Regions from separate parts of the Mus musculus genome. Here regions 2, 3, 4, 5 and 6 are each reported to be linked to region 1. The links are microRNA targets in miRTarBase. Many come from high-throughput screens and were not tested one by one. Region 1 holds a microRNA gene; each other region holds the end of a gene's coding sequence. Distances are between the middles of the regions.
The links. The annotated mature microRNA mmu-miR-3470a reads UCACUUUGUAGACCAGGCUGG and lies in region 1 at 3,521-3,541, opposite strand. An mRNA with a match to its seed (bases 2 to 7 or 8) in the 3' UTR can be bound and repressed. Matches are read on the target gene's strand: a 7mer-m8 pairs with bases 2 to 8, a 7mer-A1 pairs with bases 2 to 7 and ends in A, and an 8mer does both.

Region 2: miRTarBase lists Cx3cr1 as a target of mmu-miR-3470a. Seed matches in the 3' UTR shown: 7mer-m8 at 3,006-3,012.
Region 3: the mRNA of Cand2 is a reported target of mmu-miR-3470a. Seed matches in the 3' UTR shown: 8mer at 1,980-1,987.
Region 4: miRTarBase lists Epg5 as a target of mmu-miR-3470a. Seed matches in the 3' UTR shown: 8mer at 1,065-1,072 and 7mer-m8 at 3,603-3,609.
Region 5: miRTarBase lists Mettl2 as a target of mmu-miR-3470a. Seed matches in the 3' UTR shown: 8mer at 3,220-3,227.
Region 6: miRTarBase lists Rhag as a target of mmu-miR-3470a. Seed matches in the 3' UTR shown: 7mer-A1 at 3,638-3,644.

The regions. Positions count from the first base shown.
Region 1 is chr6:83,086,840-83,091,912 of GRCm38, forward strand. It overlaps Mir3470a (microRNA 3470a), which reads right to left and starts at 3,548; the gene lies at 3,472-3,548. It overlaps Lbx2 (ladybird homeobox 2), which reads left to right. Exons shown (of 2, transcript NM_010692.4): 2 at 844-1,404. The coding sequence ends at 1,232.
Region 2 is chr9:120,046,501-120,051,573 of GRCm38, forward strand. It overlaps Cx3cr1 (chemokine (C-X3-C motif) receptor 1), which reads right to left. Exons shown (of 2, transcript NM_009987.4): 2 at 2,183-5,073. The coding sequence ends at 4,770. Among named protein-coding and RNA genes, the nearest start is that of Gm33858, 14 kb to the right of the region's middle.
Region 3 is chr6:115,803,233-115,808,305 of GRCm38, forward strand. It overlaps Cand2 (cullin-associated and neddylation-dissociated 2 (putative)), which reads left to right. Exons shown (of 15, transcript NM_025958.2): 15 at 405-2,323. The coding sequence ends at 632. Rpl32 (ribosomal protein L32) reads right to left here. Exons shown (of 4, transcript NM_172086.2): 2 at 4,570-4,670; 3 at 3,754-3,935; 4 at 2,282-2,456. The coding sequence starts at 4,665. The coding sequence ends at 2,327. It overlaps Snora7a (small nucleolar RNA, H/ACA box 7A), which reads right to left and starts at 4,871; the gene lies at 4,743-4,871.
Region 4 is chr18:78,032,639-78,037,711 of GRCm38, forward strand. It overlaps Epg5 (ectopic P-granules autophagy protein 5 homolog (C. elegans)), which reads left to right. Exons shown (of 44, transcript NM_001195633.2): 44 at 287-4,683. The coding sequence ends at 469. Among named protein-coding and RNA genes, the nearest start is that of Siglec15, 22 kb to the right of the region's middle.
Region 5 is chr11:105,138,760-105,143,832 of GRCm38, reverse strand. It overlaps Mettl2 (methyltransferase like 2), which reads right to left. Exons shown (of 9, transcript NM_172567.3): 9 at 2,687-4,272. The coding sequence ends at 4,064. Among named protein-coding and RNA genes, the nearest start is that of Mettl2, 15 kb to the right of the region's middle.
Region 6 is chr17:40,839,041-40,844,113 of GRCm38, reverse strand. It overlaps Rhag (Rhesus blood group-associated A glycoprotein), which reads right to left. Exons shown (of 10, transcript NM_011269.2): 10 at 3,360-4,406. The coding sequence ends at 4,332. Among named protein-coding and RNA genes, the nearest start is that of Rhag, 30 kb to the right of the region's middle.

The DNA.
Region 1 (5,073 bases):
TTCTGCCCAAGTGTCAGGAGTTGCATTTGACAGGGCTCGGCAGGTCTCCTGAGTTAGTTCTGAGACTGCAATTGCTCCAGGGGGTGGCAGGGGCTGAGGGGTACCGCCAGGCTGGAGCGAATCCAGGGACCCGCTCGGCTGCTGGTACGTTCGCTGTATGCGGGGTAATCATGACCAAGAAAGGCTGTGGAAGAGAAAAAACGCTTGAGCTGCTGGCAAGAAAAGACTGAGGCAGGGCTAGGACAAGGCAGAAAATTCCTCCCAGCTACCTAGCCCCAGCTACCTAGCCCCAGCCCCAGCCCCAGCCCCAGCCCCAGCCCCAGCCCCAGCCCCAGCCCCAGCCCCAGCCCCAGCCCCAGCCCCAGCCCCAGCCCCAGTCACTTCTTGAGCCCTGTAGAAGATCCTTTGCAGCACTATTGGGCACAGGAACCGCCTTCCGCCTGCCTTCCTTCCCTTTGGGCTCCCGGAAAGAGAGCTGGTGTTAAGGACTTTATTTGGCCAGATGGGTCACCCGACCTCAATTTGGCCTCTAACTTACTACCACGCACAGCCTGGAGCTCCAAACGGCGTCAGAGACCTTCTCCAAACGGTCTTGACTCTCGTACCAGATCTCTGGTCAGTCCCACTCACCCTCTACCCGCTGGAGTAATCTCATCTCTCTGTCGTCAGCATTCCCACAGGCCTGCTGCACTTCGAATCCGGGTTCTGACCCGGTGTATAGGGATCGTGATGCTGGCCCACCCCGCTCCCTCTACCTGCTTAAGCCCCGCGACCCTAAGTTTTTCCATCCAGACCTCAGCCTCCTCCAAAGCCGAGACTGACATTTCCGTCTCATCCTGGCAGGCAGAGCCGCCCCGGAGGCGCCGCCGGGGCCTGGCGCTGGTGTCCGGAGACGCCGCAAGTCTCGGACAGCGTTCACTGCACAGCAGGTGCTGGAGCTGGAGCGGCGATTCGTCTTCCAGAAGTACTTGGCACCGTCAGAGCGCGACGGACTTGCTGCGCGACTGGGCCTGGCTAATGCGCAAGTGGTCACTTGGTTCCAGAACCGTCGCGCCAAGCTCAAGCGGGATGTGGAGGAGATGCGCGCGGACGTGGCCTCCCTATGCGGGTTGTCCCCTGGAGTCCTGTGTTACCCAGCACTGCCAGACAGCACTTCAAGCCCTGACCCTGGCCCTTCAGGGCCCGATTCTGAGCCCAACTTATCAGATGAGGAGATACAGGTGGACGATTGAAAGTGAAGCTGCTGCCCAGCCCTGGATTTTAGGGCCCTGGACCCCCTGCTAGAGGCCTTGTCTGGGTTCCCGGGTGGAGGGTAAACACCCATTTAGCTCTGTTCTGTCTCTTACTCCACACTCCTACTTTTCTTACTCGTTAAAGAATAAAGCCGCCACTCTGCTGCTGCAAGAAGCCTCAATTCGGAAAGCCCGCAACCCAAACCAAGGCAAGCCGCTACTCACTGGGAAATTCCTTGCGGCTCCTTTAAAACTTCTTTTAGCCCAAGTAGCAAGCCTAAAAGGTATGTGTCTGGCTATGGTTATTTTTCAAAAGAGGCTTGAGGTCAGGATTTGTACACAGGCATTGGCCACTCCTCAGAGACCTGGCTTGTCTTTCACCTCTGGAGACACTGGATGGAGAGGAAGTGGGTAGGATTCTAGTGGTGGCTTCCGGCCACTACCCCCTACTGGCTACCTTTGTTCCCAAGGCTTGCAGCCTTGGAGACCTCAGTACTAACCTTTAGGTTGGCCCCTATATGATAATGTGAGCCTTCTACTCTTAATTAAACTTTTACTAGGTTTCCTGCATTAAGAAAGCCATAGTAAGCTTAGTGTAGGTGCACACCTGTGATCCCAGCACTTAGAAGGTGGGGTGGGGGGCAGGAGAATCAAGAGTTCTAAGTCAGCCTATATCACAGCGCACTCGCGCTTACGCGCGCCCCCCACCCCCACACACCACACTAAACAAACAAACAAAACCTCTATGATGAGACACTGTGACACCCCAGAGTCTGGAAAGAGAGCACTATCCACTTCTACCTCTGCCCAGGTATGGGAACCTGGGGTGAGACTGAAGAGAGGAGGTCAAAGTAGCTGTGACTGTCACAAGAGCATCCTAACCTGGCCCCACTGATGACATCTCGGACCTTCAGCTTTGACCTCCCTTTTTGCTGGCCATTAATCACTATCCTCCTGCAAAGGCACTGACTGGGGAGGGACAGGGAGCACTGAGGGGCCAGAGGCCCACCCTGTCAGTTTTTAAGAGACCACCATGCAGCTAGAACCTCGGACAGCGAGTGGAGGGCCAAGGAGAGGAAACTCAGGGGAGAATAAGTGAGACTGAAAGGCGGGCGTGATTCTGGTGTCTTCACACAAGATCTGAGTGCTTTGTGTGAATTGATCAGTGGGACAGACCAACTGAATGGACTTTTAGTCTGGTGTCAAGACACTGCCCTTGTAGGTGGGAAAACACGGCTTCACCTTTTCTCACACACGCTTTTGTTTGCTTGCTTTGTTGCTTTTTTTTTTTTTTTGGAGTCAGGGTTTCTCTGTGTAACTTTGGCTGTCACACAACTCACTTTGTAGACCAGGGTGACTGGGAACTCAGAGATCTTCCTACCTCTACCTCCTGATAGGACTAAAGGTGTGGGCCAACATGCCCAGCACACTTTTATTCTTAGATTGGTTTATTTTCATTTTATGTATATGAGTGTTTTGAATATATATATATATATATATACATATACATATATATATATATATATAGAGAGAGAGAGAGAGAGAGAGAGAGTGCTTGGTTGCTTGGTACCTACATTTCCAGAAGAGGGTGTTGGATCACTTGGAACTGGTTTTTTGAGACAGGGTTTCTCTGTATAGTCCTGGCTGTCCTGGAACTCACTCTGTAGACCAGGCCGGTCTTTAACTCAGAAATCCGCCTGCCTCTGCCTCCCATGTACTGGGATTAAAGGCGTGTGCCACCACCGCCCGGCTGAGACAGCATCTTTTACTGAACCTATAGGTCACTGCTTCAATGGGCTGGCTGACCAGTGAGTCCCAGGATTCCAAATTTCTGCCTCTCCAGCAATAGGATGGCACTGCATTGAGCCAGGCTTCATATGCAGGTCCTTAGATGACTAACTGACTCCCTATCTCCTTAGCTGGTATTTTGATTTCATGGACAGCAGTGCCATTTCATAACGTAAAAAGGTTGTCCATGGAGCTGGAGATTTAGCTAAATGGACAGGGTTTAGTCCCCAGAACAGGGTAAGAAAACAAGCTGGACATAGCCGAAGGCTAAAATACCCCACAGTGAAAGGAGGCACTCTTGAGAGACCAGGAGGAGTTCTAGCAGGGCCCCTGAAGCACGCAGCTTGACCTTCCAACCACCACAAACCAAGAATGCTGGATGAACAGTTCTTAAGGAGTTACTAATGGAAGAATAATCCCTGAGCTACTGGGTGTGGTTACCATGCCTTTAATCCCAGCACTCAGGAGGCAGAGGCAGGCTGATCTCTGTGAATTTAAGGCCAGCCTGGTCTACAAAGTGAGTCCAGGACAGCCAGGGCTCTATTACACAAAGAAACCCTGTCTCAATAAAACCATAAACAAATAAATGCCCTCAAACTAAACTGCCACCTCTCCCCAGCCCATGCCCCCAACAGCTTCAGGACAAATCATTTTAGCTGAGGCAACGGAGTCTTGTTAGCTGGTACTGAGCCATCAACATCAACAGTGTTCCTTACTTTCTTGTCCAGCTGGTACCACCTCCCCTTACACTCCAGCCTTGGATAACAAACCAGCAACCAGAAGGAAGGTGTGATGGTGTGAGCCTGTCATCTGATTAATTAGGAATCTAAGAAAAATTATGAGTTCAAGGCCAGGCTGAACTATATATAACACATGCTGGATAAGGCTCAAGTTGTACCCTTTAGCTTGATGGATGCTCACCCTCCCTCATCCCAGCCCCTTCCCTGTCTGTTCTAGATACAACCCTCAGTTCTATATTACTCTGTTCCCAGCAACGGAGGAGAGGGGAGGGAGGCGGGGGAGAGAGCTAATTGTGACGTCCATCTCTGAGAGAGATGGTAGCCAGGGTATCAGCAGTGCAAGTGTGACCCTGTCTCAAAATACAAACTAAAACCAAGCCAAATAAATGGGCCTTGGCATGTAGCCCTGTTGGCAGAGAGCTTGGGTAAGTCAGACGTGGTGGTAGAGGCTTGACACTCAGGACTTACCATGTAGAAGCAGGAAAATCATAGTTTCTAGGTCTTCTTTGATTACATAGTGAGTTTAAACTATTCCAGGCTAAAGGAGACTTTGTCTCAAAACAAATAAACACACTAAGGTGGGCTCTGGATGGATGTCCACTCTGGTGACCCTAGAAAAAATGTGCAGTGTAGACCAGGAAGACAGTTCTGTGGGTAAGAGCAGCCTGTGTGAAAGCAACAGGATCTGAGTTCAAATCCCCAGCACTCATGTTAAGTTGAGTACGGCTGCACGCATCTGAAGCCCCAACTTCATGGGCTGAGGTAAGCAGATCCTGGAAGCTCACCGCTGAGCCACCCTAGCCAAGATGGCAAGATCTAGGGTCAATGTGAGACCCTGTCTCAAAAATAATAATAATAATAATAATAATAATAATAATAATAATAATAATAACATGATGAACTGGGCAGGGTGGTGCACACCTTTAATCCCAGCTCTTGGGAGGCAGAGGCAGACGGATCTTTTTGAGTGTGAGACCAATCTGATCTACATAGAGAGTTCCAGGCTAACCAGGGTACATAATAAGATCTTAGAAGGAGGAGGAAGAGGATGAGAAAGAAGAGAAAATGGGGGGAAAGGGAAGGGAGGGAGGGGGAAAGGGAGGAAGGAAGGGAAAGAAAAGAAAAGATGAGAAAAGGAAAGGAAAAGGAAAAGGAAAAGAAAAGAGGAAAGAAAGGAAAGGCAAGGCAAGGCAAGGCAGTGCGCTGGGCAGGCCTTTGAGCACAGCTCTTGGGGGCCAGAGATAAGTGGATCTCTGTTTGAGGCCAATCTGGTTTACACATCAAATTCCTTATAACCTTAAAAAAGTGTGAAG
Region 2 (5,073 bases), not on the chromosome of region 1:
CATACATACCCACACACATATGCACACACACACTCACATACATACACACTGACATTTGCACACACACACACACACACACACACACACACACACACACACACACACACAAACACACACACAGAGCCCAAACCACACCTTCACAAAAGGAAGCCTAGCTAAAGCCTGCGATAGACTGAGTTAACTTCTGACCACTCAGTAATCTGTGACCCTGGAACTAAGAAAAACAGAAGCAAAAACTAGCTGTTGGGTGTGTCCTCCCGCAGAAAGGGAGGGCCAAGAAAAGCAGGGCTGCTTGCTCGAGCTTTGTAGTTAGATGTGAGTCTAGGGTCTTATTAATGCCTTGAGACACTAGAACAAGCTCTGTTTTCCCTTCTCTCTGATAAGAACTTTGAGCTCCTGAGAAGGTGCAGAACTTGCTGAAGGCCTCTGGTGTGCGCTGCCTCCATGTCTCCTGCCTCCAGAGCACACCGCCATTCACTCCTTGCTATTTGGAGCTCCAAGCTCAGAGGCAGCAGTAGGCCTGACCCAGTTATATGTCAAAGGCCAGTTGCTTCAAATGTGTCCTTGCCATGTGGGGATTTCCAACGAAACTCTTTGTGTTTGTCCCATCCTGTCTTGTTCAGCAAAGCAAATGAGAAAATGAAGGATACGGATTTATTATTTTATTTTTATTGCATGTGCGTGTGCGTGTACCATGGTACCTGTGTGGCGCTAAGTGCAGGTGTTTCTCTCCTTGCCCCACGGGAGTCCTGAGGATGGGACTCAGGTTGACAGACTCGGTGGCAAGCCCTTTTATTGACTGGCCTCTCTCACTTGCTCAGTGCAATGAGTTTGTTTGTAGAAAAGAAAATGTTTGCTTCCCTATGTTTGCTTCTCAGGCCAGAAGTCTTTCTTCTCTACATGGGAGTCCAGGAACAGATTAACCTTTGATGACAACTCTCAGGCTCATCAGTTGGAATGAGGGACTGACACTGAAGGAACCTCGTGCTCTCTCACACGAATTCCACATCCCTGCCTCCTAGCAAACAGCCCCTGCTTCTCCTGGAGAAGCTCATATCCCTGAAGTCTTGGGTCAGATCTTATTACCTCTGCTCTGTCTTACAGCAAGCAAGTTAAACACAGCCAGGCCTTTTCTGTCCACAGATATCAAGCCCAGGGTGGTGGCGCACACCTTTAATCCCAACACTCCAGGGGAAGAGGCAGGCAGATTTCCGAGTTCCAGGGCAGCCTGGTCTACAAAGTGAGACTCTATCTCAAAAAATAAATCAAAACCTCTGAGAACAGAGGTGTGGTCTCACTGCTGTGGAAACATCTCTGGAGCCCGCTAGGATATGTGCTTCGTAAAGACTTGTAACAAATTGTCATTATCAAATGAAGGTCATGTGTATGCAAAAACTAAAGCGGGCCTGGAGAGATGGTTCATCAGGTAAAGACAATTGCCACCAAGCCCCTCAACCGGAGTTTGATCCTGGGACCTATGTGGTGGAAAGGGAGCCCTGACTTCTGCAATTTGTCCTCTGAGTTTCTTCATGTGTGTTCATGTGCATGCACATGCATACACTCATGTGCACACATACACATGCACACATATATACACATGCATATATACACACATGTACACACATGCATAAACACACACACACATACACACATGCATAAACATACATACATGTGCATACACACACATACATGTACAAACAACGGATCAATCAATATTAAAAATTTTCAAGCAAGCTGCACTGGATCTTACTGAGCTTGGCAGTCAAAGCAGCCCTGCCAAGATGGCTGCCTGTGACAGCCTTGTCAGCCCCATTACTTCCAGGTTGGTCAAGACAACGATGCTTTAGGTGCTGAGGAGCGGCTGGCCTTCCCTAGAGAGCTTTAGGGTTTTTTTGGTTTTTTGTTTTCCTAGGTTTTTTTTTCAGTCTTACAATGTTACCAGGCTGGTCTTGGGCTGGCAGAGATACCTCCCTCTGCCTCGTGAATGCTGTCGTTAAGGATGTAGGTTAGCATGCCTGGCCAGGCTTTGCTTTTTGATAAAATTGTATGTACTGGAGAACAGAGCTGAAACATTCCTGTGCCCTTTGACCCAGCTACCCCCATGGCAAAGAATTAATCTGATGGAAATAAGTGAGCAGGGAGAGGAAACGTGCACAGATTAAAGTTCCCTGAGACTCGTACTTGCCAAGAGCTGGAAGGAAACCAATGTTTATTGACAGAATTACAAGTGGGATAGACACACTCTAGGCACGCTTAACCATGTGACCCGAGACAGCGGGAAATACAGACCAACACCAAAGCATAAACTTACTTAAAACATTATAGGATACTTTTGAAAATAAAACATTTATTGACTAAGCCTGCCATGGTGCCACAGACCTTCGATCCCAGTACTCAGGAGGCAGAGGCAGGTGGATTTCTTTGAGCTCTAGGCCAGCCTGGTCTACACAGAGAGTTTCAGGACAGCCGAGGCTACATAGAGAGAACCTATCTTGAAAAACCAATTTTCTGTCTTTCTTTCTTCTTTCTCTCTTTCTCTCTTTCTCTTTCTCTCTTTCTCTCTTTCTCTTTCTCTCTTTCTCTCTTTCTCTCTCTCCCTCTTTCTTTCTTTCTTCCTTCCTTCCTTCCTTCCTTCCTTCCTTCCTTTCTTTCTTTCTTTCTTTCCTTTCCCTCCCTCCCTCCCTCCCTCCCTCCCTCCCTCCCTCCCTCTCCCTCCCTCCCTCTCCCTCTCCCTCTCCCTCTCCCTCTCTCTCTCCCCCTCTTTCTCTCTCTCCATTCCTTCCTTTCTTTTTCTTTTTTACTTATTTTGTATGTATGGGTGTTTGCCTGAATGTTCACAATGCACATGTCTGCTACCCTCACAAATTAGAAGAGGGTGTTGGGTCACCTGGAACTAGAGTTATATTATAGACCATTGTAAGCTACTATGCTTGCTGGGAATCCAACCCCAGACCTCTGGAAGAGCAGCCAGTGCTATTAACCACTGAGCCATCTCTCCAGGCTCCCACTTTGGTAACTCAATTTTGAGGTTCTCATTTGTGACCTTTGAATATGACAGCATGGTGTTGCAATAACAAAGGGTTGGATATGCCTGTGGGGGATATGACTCAGTCTGTCTGTCATCCTCGACACAAACATACAGACTGCCAAGGAGATATCAGACATGCCGCCGTGAGCAACAGGCTGGGAGAGACTTCTGAAATGGTTATCACAACCAACACAGGAACAGGGAGCTATTTGAATTCCAGTGTTTTTTTTGACTACACTGTCCTTGTCTTCAGACATGACATGGGAATTGAACTTGGGACCTCTGTAGGAGCAGACTGTGCTCTTAACCACTGAGCCATCTCTCCAGCCCCTGAAATCCAGTGTTTTTTAAAAAGCAAGTTGCAGAACTGGAACTTTCAATGTAAGCCTGCAAATGAGACCGGAGTCAGTGAATGCATGAAGACATTCTTGTGGCTACATCCTACGTGATGCTTGCAGGGTCAGGGGAGAAAGCAAGCTGCTCTCGTGGCCTGGGTCTTGCCCTGACAGCGGGGACATGGGAATGGCTTTGTAGATCTAGGCACATGTTGGGGGATGCTGTAGGAATAGGTCTCCTCTTGTCTGGCTGTGTCCTGCAGCAAAGCCTGCAGGTTCCTCCCACTCCACCAGCTCCATTTCTCAGAGGCAGGGTAACAGTTCCTGATCCAGGGAATGCTAAAGTCCTTGCTGAGGTACTATGCTAGAATGGATGAAGGCACCACAGTCCCCTTTCTATATTGAAGGGACTGAAGCTCTGTTGGCTCCAGTCTCCCCAATGTGCAAGCAACAGAGTTGGGATATGAATCGATCCCTTCACTCTGGGGCATGGCTCTTTCTATTTCTTCCCCTGGGCTGAGAAGAGTGGAGGGATGTGGGTCAAGACAAGAAAAAGGGACATGGCCAACTGGGTGGACGGAGTCCTGTGGAATGAGGAGTCAGCGTGGAGTCTCTTGTTAGAACTGCATCCTATCTTCCTGGTCTTGGAGGACAGGGCCTTGGGATTGAATTTGATGCTGTGAGCAGTAACCCAAATTCTAACCCTTGGAGAGTTCAGGACATTCTCAACAGAAGATTAAAGAAGCTAGCAACAGATACTGCTAGTTACTGAAGGGGAGCCTGAATGAGCTCCATGGTAAGGCGAGTCAGCAGTTCTTGCTGTCAGAGTAGCTCCCACCCCCCAGCTTCTGAGAGATGTGTCTCTCTCAACCGCTAACCTTGAGATTCCAACAGCATCTTAGGTATCCCTTCTATTTCAATAACACCACCTAGTCAAGGAATGGACACCCGACACACTCGGCCAACGGAGGTGTTCCCTAGGAATACCAATTTTGAAATCAGAGAGATGTGGTCCTTCTCTGATGATAGAACCTGGATGATCTGTCACTATGAAGGATCTGAAGGTCAGAGAGGGGACATTGGAGCCAAGCCTTGGTTTCCACTCAGTCTGAGGACTTAGTTGTCCTTTATCACATGATCATGCAACCAGGACTCACCAAACCCCTTTGTAATTGCACTAATCTGGTTAGAATTTTTGTCACCAGTAAGCCCCAATGTTCAACATTTGCAGTAAGAGATACGTGTGTTTTTCACACATTGAACATAAATTTTTCAAAAAAACACCACGGGGTTGGTTTGCAGGCATCTGGTCCATATTTCTTGCACATAAGATGCAGGGGGAGCGGCAGGGAAATCTGATGCAAGAACTCTGGGTTCCTAGTGGAGCTAGGGTCGGGGAGACCCCTTCAGAGCAGGAGAGACCCATCTCCCTCGCTTGTGTAGTGAGTGAAACTGCTCAGAATGCTGTCCTGCCTGCTCCTCTGGGACTCTGGCGAGAAGCCGGTGTGGACAGGATGACCGCACAGGACGGCCAGGCACTTCCTATACAGGTGTCCCAGGTATCTTCTGAACTTTTCCCCGGCAAAGGCGTAGATAAAGGGGTTGAGGCAACAGTGGCTGAACGCCACTGTCTCCGTCACACTGAGGGCCAACCTCAGGTCCCTCTTCATGTCACAACTGGGGAAGAAGTTGTAGAACTTGAGAGTCTCC
Region 3 (5,073 bases), 33 Mb from region 1:
TTCCCTACTCAGATGTGGATATCTAACTCAGGACTTTGTGCGTGCCAGGTGAAATACTCTACCAACTGAGCCACATACCCAGCCCCAAAGTTGTGATCTTCAAATAGCAGCACAGTAGTAGAAAAAAAATGAAATCTGATTATGCATCAGATTGAAATTAGGCCTTTATTTGAAACCTATGTTTAAGGCGGGCGTGGTGGCGCACGCCTTTAATCCCAGCACTCGGGAGGCAGAGGCAGGCGGATTTCTGAGTTCGAGGCCAGCTTGGTCTACAGAGTGAGTTCCAGGACAGCCAGAGCTAAAAGAGAAACCCTGTCTCGAAAAACAAAAAAAACAACAAAAAAAAAGAAACCTGTTTAGAATGGGTAACAGAGACTCAGTAAGGACACTGTCTCCCTCTGCAGGTCAAGGCTGGTTCTGTGAAGCAGGAGCTGGAGAAGCAGGAGGAGCTGAAGCGCTCAGCAATGCGGGCAGTGGCCGCCCTGCTGACCAACCCTGAGGTGCGCAAGAGCCCCACTGTAGCTGACTTTTCCGCCCAGATCCGATCCAACCCAGAACTCACCACCCTCTTCGAGAGCATCCAAAAGGACACAGCCTCCGGCCCCAGCACGGACTCTATGGAACTCAGCTAGCTGCCCCCAACACAAGTCTCCCTTCTTATCCCAATAGGCCTTGGCCTCTTCTGTCCTTCCCTGTCAGCCTCAGTGCCTTTGCTAGGGCCCCCTGCTCACAGCCCCAGTGCCAAAGCCGGGCCCACCAACTCAGGACGTTCATTCACGAGCGTCATGTCCCACCACCTTTACACTGCACCCCTCCACTCACTTAGGAGCCAGAATTGGCCTATGCCCAAGACCAGAAGGCAAGCAGGGGGTTGACTTCCTACTTCACTTACTCTGAAGTCCAAATGTCAGTTAGCACCCTGAACCTAGCCATGGGTAGGGTATGTAGAGCCCATACAAGAGAACCAATTTATACTTAGTGCCTCATTAGTTAGCAGAGTGAGAACTGTTTACAGGGAAGATAGTGTGGCTCATTGGCCAGGTGTAGGTCCACTGTCTCAAACATCCCTAATCCCATCACCCAGGAGTGTAACAGTCGGCTTGTGCTCTTCCCGACTTTGTAGTTAGTACTGAAAATTTAAGTATAAATGACAGGTTTTGATTTTTAAGACATTGTTTCTCTTTGTAGCCACATATGGCCCAGACTCAAATCCACCTGCCTGGAATTAAAGCCAGCTGAGGCCAGTTATCTGAGTTAATAACATATACAAAGCTCTCCTCACAGGATTCTTATCCATATTGATTCAGTCCTGGAAATAACAAGGCCGATGGCATAGACCTGTTATCCTAATTCCTTAGGAGGCTGAGGCTGGACCACACACTCAGGTCGTAGTGAACAAATTTAAGATCTACCTAAAAGCAACAGGGCAGGATAGCTCAGTACCACGCCCTCCTGGTAGCAACAACTTTCTAACCTGTCCTAAAGGACCCTATGCCTTCGGGCAGACATATATACAGGCAAAACACCAAAGTTTAAAATAGCTCAGTTGTAGAGCACTCTCCAACACTACAGCAAGATGATAAAACCTCATTTCTACAATGAGAACAAAAGCTTAGTAATAAAAAGGCTGGGATGTCTTTCTCTCCAGTCATTTAAGTGTCACCCGTGACAGTCAACCCTTCTGAACTCCATTACTGTTTCAAAAGAACAGCGAGCCAGAGATTGGCCTAGATACAGATGGCACTGCCCTTGTAGTGTCCCACGTGGCAGAAGTATTTATCAGTCTCATGAAGTTCTAATATCCTCCAAAGACAGGATTGTCAATCCTGACTGATTGAGGCCAAGCAGGCCAGTTCCATGAAACTAAAGGCTTCATCAAAAAAGTGCCTTAAGCCGGGCAGTGGTGGCGCACGCCTTTAATCCCAACACTTGGGAGGCAGAGACAGGCAGATTTCTGAGTTCGAGGCCAGCCTGGTCTACAAAGTGAGTTCCAGGACAGGCAAGACTATACAGAGAAACCCTGTCTCGAAAAACAAAAAAAAAAAAAAAAAAAAAAAGTGCCTTAAGCTAGAGCCCATGCTAGAGTTGGGACAGGGTTGAGAGCAGAGGTTTGTCTGGTCCCCAGACTCAAGTGTACCTACACTGTAGAGGGTCAAGGCCTTTCCCCTCTTCCACCTGCAGCCAACCAAGACTAGCATGGGATTCTGAACCCTGCTGTCTCCCCCAGAACAAGCAGCAAAGAACAATCTCCAGTTACCAAAAACATAGAAAATACGACGGCAGGTTTTGTGATTTTATTTAAACATAAAACATGCACACAAGCCATCTACTCATTTTCTTCGCTGCGTAGCCTGGCGTTGGGATTGGTGACTCTGATGGCCAGCTGTGCTGCTCTTTCTACAATGGCTTTTCGGTTCTTAGAGGACACATTGTGAGCAATCTCAGCACAGTAAGATCTGAAAGAGAAGCAAACCAGGAAAGGTCACCAGGGAAATGGCTTAATTCTTCCTCACACTGAGTAACCCAGAATTCTTCCACTGGAGCCAAAGGCTTCCAGTGCAACCACTGTAAGGTACACAGTTCAAGCAGCGTGAACAACAAACACTGCCCGTGTTCCCTCAAAGTGTTGACAATCTGTCCTAATGAACACATTCCCAGCATGGAGATGACCGTGAAGCCATAGACCGGGAGCTGAGGAAAAACCCCTAGAGAAGCAGGATGGCAGAGCTATGGAAAGCATACAAATGGCAAATACCTAATACAGACAGACACCACCTGACAGATTTGGGGACAGAGTGCATCACGTTCTAACCTGAAGCACCCATCCCGGGCCACATGCATTTATAGCTGTCTAGCACACTCACCATTCACAAGTCACATGCTGCCATATCCCACCCCAGGACTCTTTACCACTCAGGAACCAATGGTTTTTCTGTAACTACCCTCCAACTTGCCCTGCTCCCCAGCTATACAGAGGAAAATGCCCAGAGACAGAACTCAGTGAGCGGTGCACCTGCAGGGTCTGACAAGGCCAAGCAGCTCTCCTGGGGCAGATGTACCCATTAGAAATGCAGCCCCCATAACACTGCACCATCAACACTGCCTCATGGACTGCTGCTGTACAACACACATTCTCTCTCCTGCATCCATCCTTCCAAATGAACTTGTAGCACTTCAAGGCCTGGTTAAATGCACAACATAATCTCCCCATAGGACTCCTCCATCTGCATGACAACCACCTCAGAAAACAAATCCTTATAACCCCGAACACATACACTCTCTGCAGTCCTAGTTTACTTGGGAAAAATAAACTATTCCCATCACACCCTCATATCCAATGTCAAGAGTATTTCCTGAGAGGCCTTGGTTTTGCATCTCAGAGGTCACCAAGGGTTGTAACTTGCTCAAAGTACCCAGAATACCCCACAACCTTCTCTCTACAGCTGTGCCTGGAGACTTTTTCTCTACCTCAGCCCCAAAAGACCTGAGCTGCTCTGCAAATCCACCCGTCAGAGCAGAGCCAAGCACAGCTTAGGTCCCAGGTTAGACACAGGCCCCTGCAGTCTCATGACACTATAGCAGTGTTCCACACAGGACCATAAAGGACACTGAACACCCACTGTAAAAAGACCTTCTTCTCCAGTCTCAGGCTTCAACCAAGGGAACACGTCCTCTTTCCTCATAAGCATGCCCACTGCAGTGGCCTCAGTCTCACAGGAGGCAGGCACACTCCCAGCCAGGGGCCCAACTCACTTGTTGCACATCAGCAGCACCTCCAGCTCCTTGACATTGTGGACCAGGAACTTGCGGAAGCCGCTGGGCAGCATGTGCTTGGTTTTCTTGTTGCTCCCATAACCGATGTTGGGCATCAGGATCTGGCCCTTGAACCTTCTCCGCACCCTGTTGTCAATGCCTCTGGGTTTCCGCCAGTTTCGCTGAAGACACACAGGCAAGTTAGTCTCTGTGCAAACTGGCAGCTCTTGTATGTGTGTGCAGGAAGGGGACAGAATTCAAGGGGGTCATGTCATAAAACACACACCAAAGGCCGAGGTGTAGCTCAGTTAGCAGTGTCTGCCTGGCATGCACAGGGCCCTGGGCTCCATCCCTAGCACTTGCACTGGAATTTCAACATCATCTTCCATTGCAATTAAGTAGGGAGGAGGGATCAGTTAACTGCTGAACTGCTGGGTGTGCATGCCCATCCAGCCAACAGGTGATCTGCAGGCCCAGAGAGAGGTCTTAGCAGTTGAGAGCACTGGCTGCTCTTCCAGAGGTTCAATTCCATGCATGCATGTGCCTGGTGTGCAGACAAAACCCCAAAGATCTTTAAAATACAGGGTCAGGGTGCAGAGATGACTTAAAAGTGCCTGCTGTCAGACAAACTAAATCTGACCTGGACCCACAAGACAGGAAGGAGAGAATCAACTCCTTAAAGTGATTCTCCCTGCCCTTCAAACGCATAAATATAAAACAAAGTGTCATCTTTAAAATGAACTTTTTAAAATGCAGAGACAAGCGATAACGAGAAATGTGTGCTCAGGTCTTAACCCCCACCCCAGAACCACATACCTTAATTTTCACATATCGGTCTGACTGGTGCCTGATGAACTTCTTGGTCCTCTTTTTGACGATCTTGGGCTTCACCAGAGGCCGGAGGGCAGCCATGATGCCTTTTGACAAAAGTCAGACCCAAGTTAGTAAAGAAACTGGGAGGTGGGGCTGCGTCTCAGGCCTTCAGTGAGTAATGTTGCAGAGTGTCTTCCAATCACCAGCTACCGAGCAAACTGGGAATGGAATGGGTACCTCTGCTAGGCTTGCTCTCCCTCTTGCTTCCGAAGCTGGAAGAATACTAGCTACTCTCCAGACGCGATCCCAAGAGGTCAGTGGTTCATCTCACCCACTCCGAACCTCAAAGAACCGCAACCGATCTTACAGAACCCCAGCCAGGTCTCTCTGGTGGCGAAGGAGCGGCAAATCCCGCTCCACTAAGCTTCGTTATGTTTGAAGTGTTGCGCCCTTAAATACGCAAAGCCACCATGCACTCCTAACACGCCACCAGTCCGTCTGTCCCTC
Region 4 (5,073 bases), not on the chromosome of region 1:
AACCACATGGTGGCTTACAACCATCTGTAATGAGATCTGACGCCCTCTTCTGGAGTGTCTGGAGACAGCTACAGTGTACTTACATATAAAAAAAAAGAGAGAGAGAGAAGGCTCCGGAGGTCAGAGAGGGTGCGTGCAGCCTCTTCCACCACCTCCTGGTTGTGTCACCCAAAGCCTGCCTCCAAGACCGCTCCTAAGGAACGGCATAGTGATGGCAAGTGCTGCCGTGTGGCTGTCAGGTGGCACGCATTCTCAGAGTAAGTCAGCTGTCATGTGTGTCTTCTAGGTGCTGACAGCTCTGGAGTCCATGACGCTCAGTAAGCAGTATGTGGAGTACCAGGACCAGATACTGCATGCTCTTCAGTTTATAAGGCATCCTGGCCACTGCCTTCAGAATGGGAAAAGCTTCCTGGCCCTTCTTGTCAACCGCCTCTATCCAGAAGTGCATTACCTGGACAACATCCGGTAGTGAGGCCGAAGCCCTCGGAGCACCGTGTCGGCCCTGAGTTTACATTAGCCGTGCTGTTGTGCATGTATCTTTCCTCAGTTTCGCCACAGAGCTCAGTTCTGCCTGGAATCGACTGAGGTGCAGTTGGGAGGCATCAGCTCGTCCTGGTTGCACTTACCTCTTCTGTCCAGTGGCCATCTTAGTGTGAATGCTCTTCCACAAGTCAACTGAGTTCCCGAGTACAGACCACTCACATTTGGGGAATGTGCCTGTCAGCTCCCTAAGAACAACAGATAGAGTTTTTGGTATGTCTGCACCTCTGTCTCCCTGCCTTGTTTAAAGGTCAAGACTCCTAATGCCAGATCTGACCACTTTGGGAGGCGTGAAGAGCCCTCTTTTGGAACTCCATTGTATTCTTCCGATGTAAAAATTCTGTATTTCTGAAATGTAGGGAAACACACCAGCTTTAAAGTGTTATGTTACAGCTCTTTGAGTGGAGAGACTACACTGGATTAATTCAGGAGTGGTAGCTGGGCAGTGGTGGCACACACCTTTAATCCCAGTACTTGGGAGGCAGAAGCAGGCAGATTTCTGAGTTCGAGGACAGCCTGGTCTACAAAGTGAGTTCCAGGACAGCCAGGGCTACAGAGAAACCCTGTCTCAAAAAAAGCCAAATAATTTATTAATTAAGAAATTCGGGAGTGGTGGCCCACACCTGTCCTCTGAGCACATCGGCTGACTGAAACAGGAGGATCACAAGGTTGAGGCAGCGTGAGGTGTGTATCAAGAACATCTCAGCAAACAGAGCAAAGGAGCTGAATTAAAATGAGTCCTGTGCAGACATGTCACTTAACCCTGACCACAGTGGCCAGCACAGATGGTGACACATCCTCTGGAAGTGAGCTTGTCTGAAGTGATGTGACAGTGTGCCCTATGCCAGCTGTGTTGTGCACAGGTGTGTCGTCTTTGGGAGCACAGAAGCCCTGACCACAGCCGCCAGGGCACTGGAACCCTTTGGGTCTCCTCAGTCACAACGTTTTATTAGCCCTGTCTATGTGGAATTCCCAGCTCTTGTTATAAGTCAGGGCTTCTGCAGGCCCTACTGTCAGGGACACCGGGGACTTTGTACTTCTTCCTTAGGTAAATCAGATGGCGCTCAGGGACTCGCTGGAGCATATGTCCAGAGAGAAGGGCCAGGTCACGGCAATCTGAGAAGTTTGACTTTTTGTGAGTAGCTCCGTGCCTTCTGTCATTGCTGAGTCCCCGTTACCTGTCTGGCACAGTGCTCTGCTCCCTTTAGATCTCCTGCTCATGTCGCTCCCTGTAGAGTTCCTAATTTGACTTCTGTCAGAATAGTCCTACTTCTCAAAAATGCCCCCAAATGGGTTTTGCAGGTTCAGCTTAAAATACGTCTTTTTTATGGGTTTAGGTCTAGAAATATCTGTGTAAAATCTATGAGTGGCCACCAAGAGCCTTGACTAAAGATGGGATATACAGCTAGTGGGTCCCTTCCCTGCATTTGGAAGCTTGCAGGAACTTCTTATTGGACAGAACAAGTCTGCCTGGTAGACATGTCTTAGAACACTGATAAAGGACGATCCTATTCAGTGGCACAAAGTATCATTGTCCAGGAATCTGTCTCAGCCATCTTTATTTCTGCTTCTCTCTGCTTTCCAGGTCTGTCATCCCCTCTCCAATAGAAGAAAACTTTAGAAGCTGTAGACAGTTGAACCAGTGGTTCTGTGGTCAGGAAACACTGTTTTTGTGTGCTTTCTCCAAGGAGAACCAAGTTACCAATATCCTAGAATGTGAAATGTTTGAGTCATAGTGTGTACAGTTTAGAGAATCAATTAATTTTGAAAGTTTATAATATTTGTAAATTTTATCTGTAAAAAGTATAAACAATAAAATCAACCTTTGATTGTAACTGATGAATCCGAATTGAAGGCTAATGTAGATTTTTATGACTGATAATACATTTATTTGGCTTTGTAACTGGTCGGTAAAATTGCCACTATTTTCATCCCTGCTTAACATCTGAGAGTTATTTGCCTCAGATTCTATGAGAAGCACTGGGCTAAGTCTTTAAAACTATGTAATAATTCAGAACAAAGAAGGCTGCCTGTGGACAGGCTGGCTGGCTGGCTGGCTACCGGAAGACAAACCTGGCTTTGCTAGGAAAATGGTTCACTTTGAGAATGCAAGTCATGACATCAGGGACAGTGATGGGCACTTGATGTCCTTGTCACCAAGCAAGGCCGTGGCTGAGCAGTATGGAAGGTGGCCATCGCAGACTCCAGAGCCTTCTGCAGCTTCCCAGGAACAGATGAGAGTGTTGGCCTCAGCGGAAGTGCCTCTGCCTCTCCAGGCATTGCCCACCTCCTTGGAGTGCACATGTGGGGCATGGGGGTAGGGGATAGAGGTTGCTCTGGCCTTCCTTGCTCTACAGCCCCACTGGAACAGGTGACGGCAGGTCCTGTAGGATGGTGGCTGTAAAGGCCAGCGCCCACCATACACATCTCTAAAGCTCCTGCACACTTGACCTTGTCTCTAAACATGACGGGCAGGTGTCTTGCTGGTTAGGCCTCCACCGCTCATGTGTCTTTTGTTTTTTGGTGTCAGTGAACATGACGTGTAGACTCTCCCTGTAACTAGCCAGCAGTCTTTCTCCTCCAAGGCCAGCCAGTCTATGCTCTGGTGAGTTTAAGCGCTTTGTCTGAATCAAGCCAACAACACTGGTTTTCAAAGGTATTTTCTAAAAATTGTTTCTTCTACGCCCCCCCCCCCCAAACCCACAAAATTGATTCTTCTGAAGCAGGAAGCCAGTGTCTAGGATCGTGGGCAGAGTTGAGGCACATATAAATACCTCCGTTCCCTTAGTGGCAGTCCTCAACCTCTCCCCAACCCTGGCCACTCCCAGCCCAGGCTTGGCTATGCCAGGGTCCTCTAGTTCTGAGTATCTTGAGCGAGAATGGTCCCTTATAACCTTGCCTATTGATTGTGGATCTGCCTGGAGCACCCAGGAAGGACCTGTTCTCAGCTACCTCAAGACATTCCTCCTGTCCCATCTCCTTAGTCCTCTCTAAGTAGCCAGAGTCCTTAGTCATCTTTAAACGTGGCGTCGCGTCGCGTCCGATAAAGCTGCTTTTGTGGGCAAAGTGCCCAAGTCAGTCCACACTACTGTGCCAAGGGTTAGCAGTGCCAGAACTGTGCATGCTCAGCCCTCACAGATCCTCACAAGGAGAGAGAGCATCCTTGCCAGTTTTATCCCTGGTGCTTTGTCGCCTTATCCTGGACCCTGCCCTAGAGCTGTTACCTCCTTTGGGCTAAGCAGATCGAATCGCTCTAGCACTCACTTGGGCGGCATCGGTTCCCATTGTCCTATGTAGTTGGCACGTTAACCTAGCATTGAGTTAAACCACAGGCCTCTTTAATAGCGGTCACTGCCCGAGTTCCACTGAGCATCTACTTGGTCAGCCCAGTGGTCAGGCCCTTTGAACTTCGTCTCTGATTGCACCTGCTCTTTAGTTAGCTAAACTTCACAGTCCATTTTAAGGTGCTAGCTGATCATGTTAGGTGAGGCTCTTAGAGCCAGGGCCCTAAACAGACTGTTGTGTAGGAGTCATGTGGCCAGGAGCAGGTCATGTGCTTATCCATAGTCTCCTTCGCTCTGCACAGGCTTCTGATTCCTCACGAGGATAACGGGAAAAGAAAACTTACACTGCTCATATTTTACTAATGAAAGTGCTGGTGTTGGTTATAACTCATTTTTCAGTGTGTCATGCAATATGGCTGAGCACTGAAGAGAGGCTTGCTTTCAGTGGTTTGAGGTCATTTATATCGGAGATCAGTAGTGTGGCGTGCTCACCTCAGCTAGTGTGACCTTTACAGCCACAGTTTTACTCTTGCTCCATCCTCTTGCCCCCCCCCCCCACGTGCTCATGGCTGGCCTCTACTTCTCTACTCCTTCTCTCTCTACTACCCTCTCAACTTCCCTCCCCATGCCCTGAGTAAACTCTATACTATACTAAACAAAACCAAAACAAACAAACAAAAGACCAGTCTTATTTTGGCCATTTAACTGTGCAATACTTACTTCTTATTCGCTGTTTAGTATTTTCCATGCTCATACAAAGGACGCTTTTTTTTTTTTTTTTGTAATGATGGTGAGAAATTGGAAGCCGTGAGAATTAGTTAAGTGAAATTCTGCAAATAAAGGACATTGTGATTTCTCATGCCGAACCTGTCTTTATTGTTTACAGCACACCGCAACTTGGCAGGGCTTCCCATACATAAATCACATAAAGGGAACTTTTAAGTTAGTTGATTTGTGATGGCTAGGTCTTTTTGTTTTAATATTTTACCACAATGGTAAGACCTCCAGTTTCAAAGAGAAAATTTCCAACTCAATGTGTGTGTGTGTGTGGGTGGGGGGGCAGTTAGGAACTGGTAAGGACAGGAAACCATCGACTCAGAAGAACCCTCAATGGCTGGAATATCTGTAAAGTGGCCTTGACCTGTGCAGGAAGGACTTGGAAGCTGCGCAGAGGCTCCCAAGTTCCGTGATGAACCGAAATGTTTATGAGTGCTAAGAGGCAAGAGTGTCTGCCATGGAACCCTGCCTT
Region 5 (5,073 bases), not on the chromosome of region 1:
CCTAGTTTGTACAAGACTGTGTGTGTGTGTGTAAGGATAGCAAATATTCCAAGAAATGTTAGCACATTTAGATTGTTCAGCAAGGGCTCTGCTTATTTGGATAAGAGATTTGGGATCAGCCTTAGCTTGACAAACCTTTGTCCCCACCCAATGCCCTGATGTGCTAACCATCAACTTCTGGTGTAAGTTTGGCAGCATCTCTTCTCAGGGAGCTCCCTTCCACTGTCACTCCCATATCCCAGATTAATAACCCATTCTTCCAAGCTGTGTTGTTTCTAGGGTTAACAGTCTCCAGCTGAACTAACAACCCAGCATTCTGGGTTGGGCCAATGGGAATCTGACAACTATTATTCTCTTGGGTGATACTCTACTAAAACATGCTAAGGTTGGGGCTGGGGAGATGGCTCAGTGGTTAAGAGCACTGGCTGCTCTTTTAGAGGTTCTGAGTTCAGTTCCCAGCAACCGCTTGGTGGCTCACAGCCATCTGTAATGGGATCCGATGCCCTCTTCTGGTGTGTCTGAAGACAGCGACAGTGCACTCATACAAAAAACAAAACTTGCTAAAAACAGATGCAGTCAGAGGATGGGTTTCTTCTGCCACCGCATCAGTTCTGGTGACCAGACTTAGGTATGCAGGTTGACAGGCTTGGCAGCAAGACAAAAAGAGCCTTTACCCGCTGACCCAAGTGGCCCGGAAGGTGTGTGTCTGTTTGTCTATCTTTCTGTCTCTCTCTCTCTCTATATATATATATATGTAGTCTCCCCTCCCCCAGCCTGAAACCTGCTTGCTCAGGGGTAGAGCTTGCCGCTGGAGCCGGCCGGGCCGTTTTCCTGTTCCGAAGCCATCATGTGGTCACCCTGCTACTGGACTCCAAGATTATTTGGCAGGAATCGGGCCCCCTTCCCCTGCTTCATAACTGCATGCAGAATAGTAAAATTGAGCTTTGATCAGAATGACTGTCTTAGCTGCATCTTTTTCTCGCCTGCCTAGTCCTTCTTCTCTTCCAGGTTTTTAAAATGCCTTTCCAGGCTAGAACCCAGGCCTGTGATCTGCTGGCCGGACACAACATATATATATATATGAATCTTTTTAAACTTTTTGAGTCTTTCTGTGTAGCCCTGGCTAGAATGGAACTCTCTATGTAGACCAGGCAAGCCTCAAATTCGCAGGGATCTAGATGTCTGTCTGCCTTCTGATCACTGAGATTAAGGTGTGTGGCACTACAAGTAACCAGATATTTTCTATTTTAATGGTGAAATCCTATCTCATGGAAAGGAAACTGGGGAATGATGGATCTGGGTTCATCTCAGGATGAATATTCTGGCTACTGTGCCTTAAAACCCCTCTGTGGAACAAGTAACCATATGTGGCCTTCTGCCCCTAAACTCAGTCATGTTTAATTGTCTACATGGCCCACTGATTAGAGCCAGCAGACCTCTGAGTTGTGAACCTTGGCTGACTGCTCACTGCAGAGGCAGCAGGGTACCACATCACCATCTCAACTGGGAAGCTCATCACCAAGTTTGTCAAATCACAACCTGAAGATCAAATGAAGCAGCGGAGACCTGTGATGCCCTGATGCAGCCGGGCTCTGGACCTCTGGACGTAGCAGCTATAGCCACCAATGAAAAAACAGGCCTTTGTCAACAGCATGAAAGAAACTGCCCCGTGCTCGTCTTTACTCCAGAGAAGCCCTGACTGTTGCCAATGTCTCCAAGGACAGGAATCAAATTATAGGAACATTAAATGTCTCGTGAACTAAGCTTTCCTCTTGTTAAATTTCCAGGGTCCCACTTTTCCAGTCAAGAGTAAAAGAGAGCAAGAAGGAAGACAGGAGACACCCCCCCTCCCCCATACAGGGACCGAGAGAGGTCAGGCTCAGGACGAATCACCTTTGCACCACAGAATCCACACTGGCAAGGACTTGAGTTACACCCTGACCTGGCATGCCTTTCACCCCAACAGCTCTCTGTACTTGCCCCACATCAAACCATCCTTCAGTTTTCAAAGAATATTGACTTTCTCTCTCCAGCTGAATGGCTGGCACTTGACGTAGGAAGATAAGTCTTTTCATGAAGCATTTCTTTTTTTTGTTTTTTTTTTTGAGACAGGGTTTCTCTGTGTAGCCCTGGCTGTCCTGGAACTCACTTTGTAGACCAGGCTGGCCTCGAACTCAGAAATCCGCCTGCCTCTGCCTCCCGAGTGCTGGAATTAAAGGCGTGCACCACCATGCCCCGCTATCCTGAAGCATTTCTGTTAGATACACCTAAGCAAATCTTTCTAGGCAGCTTCGCAGCTGGAGCCACCTTCCCAACCCAACTGTTTTCAGGAAACTCAGCCGCGTCAGGTTTAATTGTAGAGCCACGTGCAGCTATTAGAATGATTCAGCTAAAACCCTTTGGACAGAGACCATGGGAAATGTGTGGCAGGGATCATGTGTCAAGGAACTCTCCTACACAACAGTTGATAACTGAGCTTGTGTGGAGGTTTCAGTAGGGGACAGAAGACCAGCTCTTTGATGGTGAAGGTGAAAGGGGACACCTGCTTAGCTGACCAGAGCAAACCAATAAATCCTGGTGGTCAATAGGGTGACAGATGGCACAGCCAGAGTGCTCTCATGCCCTAGAGATGACAGCGAGGGAACCTATCAAACACCATCTAAATTAAGCCACACCACCAAAAAGATATAGAAAATTATTTTATTTTGGTACGTATGTCTGAGGACACAGACATGCTACAGCACATGATGGCTCTCTCCTTCCACCATGTGGGTTTTGGGGACATGAATTCAGGCTGTCACGCTCGGCAGCAAGTGCCTAAACCTGCTGAGCCTTCGTTCTAGTGCTAATACTGGAGACAGTAAAAGGCCCTCATAATCCAGCACCTTGCAGCGGAGCACAGCATCACCTCCATCCTGCCCCAGGATCAAACAAGCCAGGCAGGCTTTCACCATGTAGCTTGGGCTGGCCTGGAATTGAAGGCAGTTCTCCTATCTCAGACCCCCCATGCCAATTTAGATTAAGCTAACACCCCGTACCTGGCTGGCTCCAGGGCTCATGCCACTGAGCCATATTCACCATCTGTGAGATGGTTTTACAGTGCAGTCCAGGCTAGCCTTGATCTTAACGGGATCCCTGTGCTGACTCAGCCTTTTTTTTTTTTTTTTTTTTGGTTTTTCGAGACAGGGTTTCTCTGTATAGCCCTGGCTGTCCTGGAACTCACTTTGTAGACCAGGCTGGCCTCGAACTCAGAAATCTGCCTGCCTCTGCCTCCTGAGTGCTGGGATCAAAGGCGTGCGCTACCACGCCCGGCCTAACTCAGCTTTTTACCCGCAGGGATTTCTGCTGTGAGCCACCACACTTGGCCAGGCTTGGATTTTAAATTCTTAACTCTCAAATGTGTTAGCATTCTTTTTCCTTTCTTATTTTTCTTTTTTTGTCTGTGTAGCCCTGGGTGTCCTGGAACTCACTCTGTAGACTAGGCAGGCCCTGAACTCAGAGATCGCCTGTCTCTGGCTTCTGAGTGCTAGGATTAAAGGTGTGGACCATCATCATCTTGCAATATGATGGCAAGAGGATCTAAACTTCAAGGTCATTTTTGGTCACAGAATGAGTTTTATATAAAACTCTAGTCATTAAAAAATTTGAGGGCAGTCAAAAAGCTCAAGGTGTTTGCTGTCAAGCCTGAGTCTGAATTCTAGGACCAGCCTGTAGGAGAGAACTGACTCCTGCAAGTTGCCCTTTGAACTCCCCACATTCACCAGGGCATTGCCTCGACCAATGATATTAATAAAACGAACTCCAGAAAATACGCATTAATGGGCTTTAGAAATAAAACCACACTTTTTTGGTTTGCTTTTGGAGACAGGATTTCTCTGTGTATCACTGGCTGTCATCAAACTCAGAGATCTGTCTGCCTCTGCCTCCTGAGTGCTGGGTTTAAAGGCATGTGTCATTGCACCTGGCTAAAAACCGGAAAGTAGTTGTTCTTAGGCTCAAAGTTAGAGCTCCTTGAATCCCCAGACTGTCCATCATCAACAAGCCGCTGTCTACAGATGTCTTCTTACAAAAGCCCCGAATGTGAAGAACTTTCTGTGGCGTGGGGAATGGGCACATGTTGGCTGGAGCGGAGTGCTAGAGGCTTGCTGTATTTGCACTGAATCCAGACGCGGTACATGGTCAGCTGTTTCCCTCGATTCACCTGCAAGCGGCGATCCACCAGGTTCTGCACCTTCTCCAGGCCAGCAGCGGTGAAGAGCGTATCCAGCTCACCTGGTGTGAAAAGAGCCAGCGTTACAGAGGCTGCTCTGGAGAGAGGGTGCTCTGCTAGCGACTCTCCATGTGAAGTGGAGCCTCGACACTGTGCCTTTTTTTTTTTTCGAGACAGGGTTTCTCTGTGGTAGCCTCAAATTCAGAAATCCACCTGCCTCTGCCTCCTAAGTCACTGTGCTTTTTAAGAGGCCTATTAGCATTGAATACTGATGTAGTGACAGTTTGACAATGACAGGTCCAGGTTTGGGCACCAAAATATCAAAACAAACCTACCAACCAACCAAAAAACCAGAAGATAGAAATTCACATACCACCCCCAAAATCAATCAATCAATCAATCAATCAATCAATCAAACAAACAAACAAACAAACAAACAAACGACACAATAAGGGTGAAGGGAAGCCTATATATAACACTAGCAGTTGGCAAGGGATAGCAGGATAGGGATAGGGTTCATGGCTGGCTTGGGCTACACAGAGAGACTTGGCTTCAAACAAAGCAATAATTCCCAAACCAAAAACTATTCTCCCAAGCCGACAGATGAGTATGTCAACACAATGTCTTACAGGACAACTTTCTTTGTTTTTTTTTTTTAAGATTTATTTATTTATTATCTGTAAGTACACTGTAGCTGTCTTCAGACACCCCAGAAGAGGGCATCAGATCTTATTACAGGTGGTTGTGAGCCACCATGTGGTTGATGGGATTTGAACTCAGAACCTTCGGGAGAGCAATCGGTGCTCTTAACTGATGAGCCATCTCACCAGCCCACAGGACAACTTTCAATGCTACATAGACAA
Region 6 (5,073 bases), not on the chromosome of region 1:
AAAAGCATATACATACAGATTCACATCACTTAATTTATTTGTTTCTGACAATAGAGAGGGTCAAGGAGAACAAACACCACAATAACAATGATACAACTACCTTTACATCCCGGAGGATAAATACCATTTGAAGAAACTAGTACTTAAAGGAATGGCTGATTCCAGAGCTAACACAGGCAAAGAAGAAACAAACACATAAGAGAAAGATCTAGAGAGCATCGCAAAATGGTTTACACTGGCCAAATCTGGAATAATGTCATGTTCACAACAGTTTAATACAACCTTTTGTAAAGAATTGAATAAGAAATTATAAGTCTATAGGGATATCAACTAGTAAATAAACACACTGAAAGCCTTAGGAGAAAGGTGCTGACACAGGGACCATGAGCATCTCACATTACTTGCCCACAAAATAATAATTACAAAGTCAAAGCAACAAGTGATTTACTTATCCTGTGTGTATGCAAACATGTTTGTGTAGGCGCTAGTGTGGGAGTGGATACACATGCACACGTGTGAGCATGCTTGTGGAGGCCAGCGTCTAAGCTTGGGTGACATTCCTCAAGTACCATCTATTTTGTTTTTTTTGAGACATGGTTGCTCATTAGCCTTGAGCTCAGCAAGTAAGTTAGTTTGGTTAGCCCATGAGATCTGGAGATCTACTGATCTTACCCAGCACTGAGATTACAAAGTATGTCACCAACTGACTTTTTGGCTAGAACTCATGTCTTTATACCTGCATGGGATGCACTTGACTGACTGTATTGTCTGTCCTGTCTTCCCTGAACAAGAAACTTTAAGGAAGAGGGAAAAAAATCAAATTCATCAGCGATCAAAGAACTATCATTAATGACAAAACAAGCTCAAAGCTTGTTCCATGCAGGAGGAAGCAACGTAATGCAGAACCTCACCTTTGCAATTAAAAAAAAAATACAAGTTAAATTGCTGTTAATGTTGTATTGCCTGAATCCAATTTGTAAGGAAACACCAGATAAATCCAAATCACCTGGAGTCAATGCAAGTGGCCTGTAGTTTTCAAAAGATCCAAGATCACGAACATCAGAAAGGTATAGCAGAAACTGTTAGAGGTTTCCAGACTGAAAGACTTGACTACTGGGAGAGGTGGAATGGCTTAGTGAATACAGTCATTTGTTGTACAAGCCTGACAACCTGAGTCCAATCCCTGTTTTCAGATAAAGGTGGAGGGAAGGAACCGACTTTATAAGACCCTGTTCAGCCTCCAGAAGTGTGATGCGGTACATGGGCACACCCATATTGTATGATACACACATGACAAGATTCCTTGGGATCTATCATGGCAGTGAGATGCAGCTCAATTGAGTCCCTGGGATAGTAGTGAAAAATCTGATCAGTTGTGAGCTTCAGAAAGACTAGTCAGGAACATTGATTCAGATGTTCCTGAGCGTAGGAGATTTATAGCCTTGTCCCATTGAAGATTGCTGAGTTGGTTTTCTTTTTGGTTTTGTTGATAGTAATAATCTAGGAGAATTGTTTCCTGGGACTGGCCAGATGTTTGGTTTATTCAGAAAAGATTTTTTTGTCACTCACATTTTTGTGATTTTAGTCATTTGTGAAAGGCCTTTGCTATGCAGCTCAGGTTGGCTTGAATTTATTGCCATCTTCCCACCTTGTTTCCTGGTACTTGAGACTGTGAGCATGTACCAGCATCCCTGACTGCCTCCTGAACTGTCACTCAGGGTACATGAGTAGTGTGAGGTTAACCTTCCATAAGTAGTAAAGAAAAAAAAAAGCAACCTGTATAAAGGCCACACACCCAGAGAAGAGAATTAAAACAGGCTAATGTTTATTCTGAATAAAACTGGTTTGGAATAAAGGAGAACAATTGGGAAATCTCCCTGACCCCAAACAGCAGACTTTTCTCACCTTGTGCAAAAGCCAGCTCGAAGGCTGTAGAAACTAGAGCTAGAGAACTCCAGATTTGTGAAATGGTAAGTTTCTCAAACCTGTCTGAAATTGCATCTATCGATTCTTGGTCACCCCTTCAGCTTTAGTCAAGAACAAAGACTGACAAAACTTCCTGGAACAAATCACATAAATAGATCTTGAAATTTTGTTCTATCATGTGAACTGATGCAATAGAGTATACACACTGAATTTTGTTTTTGTGGTGACATGAAAGTGTTTAGGTTAATTAAGTGTTTAAAAAAAAAAAACAGAGTTTAGGCTTTAAACTTGAGTAAGAAACCCACTGCTGCAAATAAATATGGTTAAAGTAACTAGGTCTTCAGTTCCTCATATACACACCTGTGCACAGCCAGAATACAGGCACATACAATTTTGTTGGATCTACAAAAACGAACTGGATTGGAACAAACAATATAATAGGGGTAGATAAAGTGAATAAATATAATGAAAATGGGGAAGGTAGAAGACTAGAGTAATACATTTTCCATGTGAATATCATGATAAACTCAGAGCAGATTTACCGAACGGGAAAAGTGAATTTATTTGAGTAGAAAACATAAATCCTCATATGAAAATAATTTACCAACTTTCAGAGAAAATAGATTAAATAGATGTGTACTATGCCTTTGATTACACTTATTGATATAGTAAAGGTTATTTTTCCCCGTGTGAAAACAATCATTGGTTTCTATGTATTACCTTGGGCTACCCTATTAAAGACAGAAAGTGATGGTACTTACCTTATGCTGTGCCTTTCAAAATGTCAATGTTTTTTATTTCCTGTGAACTTCATAATGATAAAAACTAAACATAAACTATTCCATTGGTAATTATTAAATGGGTTCACTACAGTAACTCTGGACAAATTTGCTCAAGATTATGATCTGTTATTTCTTCCCAATGAAAATATCCTGTCCATTAAAGAATGGCAATGTACTACCATGAATAAAATAATGTTAACTCTGAGTGTAAAAAGCAAAATTTTGGAGCTCTAAGTCCTGTATTGAAGAAAGGTAAGGGAGAGTGTTCATAAGGCAGACATTGACACCATCAACTCTCTTATAACTTTGTGTCCTCATATTGCCCACAATTTTCCCTATGATCATAGCAGGGCACATATCTTTTTTGGTGCCTAGTTGCTTCCTGTTAAGATTTCAGGACTGGGGGATGTAAAAAATATCAAAAGCTCTGAATATGAAAAATACTTCTTAATTTTTATAAAAATGGTTCAATATAACTGTGCTAGTCATTTTTTCTAAATGCAGTCTTTTAAAAGTTATACTATGCACAGGACACTTGATTTTTATAGGGAATACATAAGTAATATATTTTTAAATCACATTAGTATGAGGTGTGAGTGTATGTGCTTGTTAAATGGATTTAATCATATAAAGAAGAGATAAAGACAAACACCCCATTTTATATAACATTTAATCATTTAAAATTTTATAACAGATGGCTTTTAAACTCCTATTACAAATAAGAACCATAAAAAGAAATTAAGGATAAGAATATGCAAACAAACAACAGTATAACATTACTATGACTGTTTTTAAGATTTAAAAAGATGCTAACTAGAACATTAATATTGCTTTTTATTTACATAGATTTCTTTTTCTTTTTCTTTTTTTTGGGGGGGGGGCTATTTTTGAGACAGGGTTTTTCTGTATATCCCTGGCTGTCCTGGAACTCACTTTATAGACCAGGCTGGCCTCGCACTCAGAAATCCGCCTGCCTCTGCCTCCCAAGAGCTGGGATTAAAGGTGTGCACCACCACCACCCGGCTCATTTTTCTAGTATAGACTCTTTAATATGTCCTTTGACTTCAGCTTTAAACTCTTTGGAACTGAAGACATGGTATGTACATTAGGAAGCTAAAGGGTTGCGGATAGAATACATGTAATAAAACAAGGAATACCTAACTGAGGGGAGGAAGGGACCCAGATGGAGGGAGTGGGGAATCATGAGGAACTGCAGTGGGTAGGGATGTGCAGAGGGTAGGGGAAGGGGTATGACACACATGCACAAAGATGTAAACTAACCAAAAAAGTGGATAAAGTCTGATGTGATCAAGAAGTATTGATTTCTATAATTCATCTCTTTTGCAAGATATCAATGATACAATCAAACATTCTCGATGAAGCTATCCATTTGCAACTTCATTCTTAGAGCCTGGGATAGACGGCTTTCTGAGCATTTTCCTGTCAACTGAGAAATCATTTGGACAGCATGGAATAATAGTAAAACTAAACACATTTGTACACTGGCCATTTGGGGCTGGAATTTATCTATTGTCATGCCTATCTCTTTGGATACCAAGTTTTTGTTTCTTTAAATTTGACTCTTCTTGGCAATTCCGAGGATGCAGAGTTTAGGATCAGCTTTTAGACTTCATGTTCCACGTGGTTGTGATTTGCATGTTGAAAGAAGCGATTATCAAGTTCTCTGAATTTGGGAACCTTGAAAAACAAAAGAAATACTGTGACACTTAATGCTTCTGTTGCCTGGCCTGTTATCAATGAGCACTGAAGCAAAGGTGTTTTCTGGAATTATTATCTAAGCTTAGAAAAATGGTGAATTACAAATTATTCATATAAAGGAAAATATAAAAACAAGTCATTTATCTCACCAACTTTGACTGCATTCTCTACTTCCCACACCCAGTTTTCCTACTAATCTGTTGAAGCTTCTATGCCAGTCAAGGTGTGAAGAAAATGCTTTGGGAGAGGGTGACCCTGGGGTCAACAGGCCGAATGTGGGAGCTGGAAAGAAGCTTAAGTTTGTTAGATACAGGAACTTTTGATGTGTGCTTTCTAAAAGCCTTCAGTCTTGCACAGCACATCTGCTTTTTCTTCCTACTTTTACCTTGAACACAATACACCAAACTGTTGGATAGTATTTTCTATGAACACCTTCTAAGAATTGGTATAAAAGAACAGACATGACATTGGTTAGTTAAATTCAGTGTCTACTTAGTTTCTGCTTTGGAGAGGAACTTTTTATAATTTCTATTTTTCATTTATTTATTTTAATTTATTTGCGTGTGTGTGTGTGTGTGTGTGTGTGTGTGCCTGCATTGCATAGAGGAACCCATGAAGGTCAGAAGAGGGTTTTAGATGCCTGGGA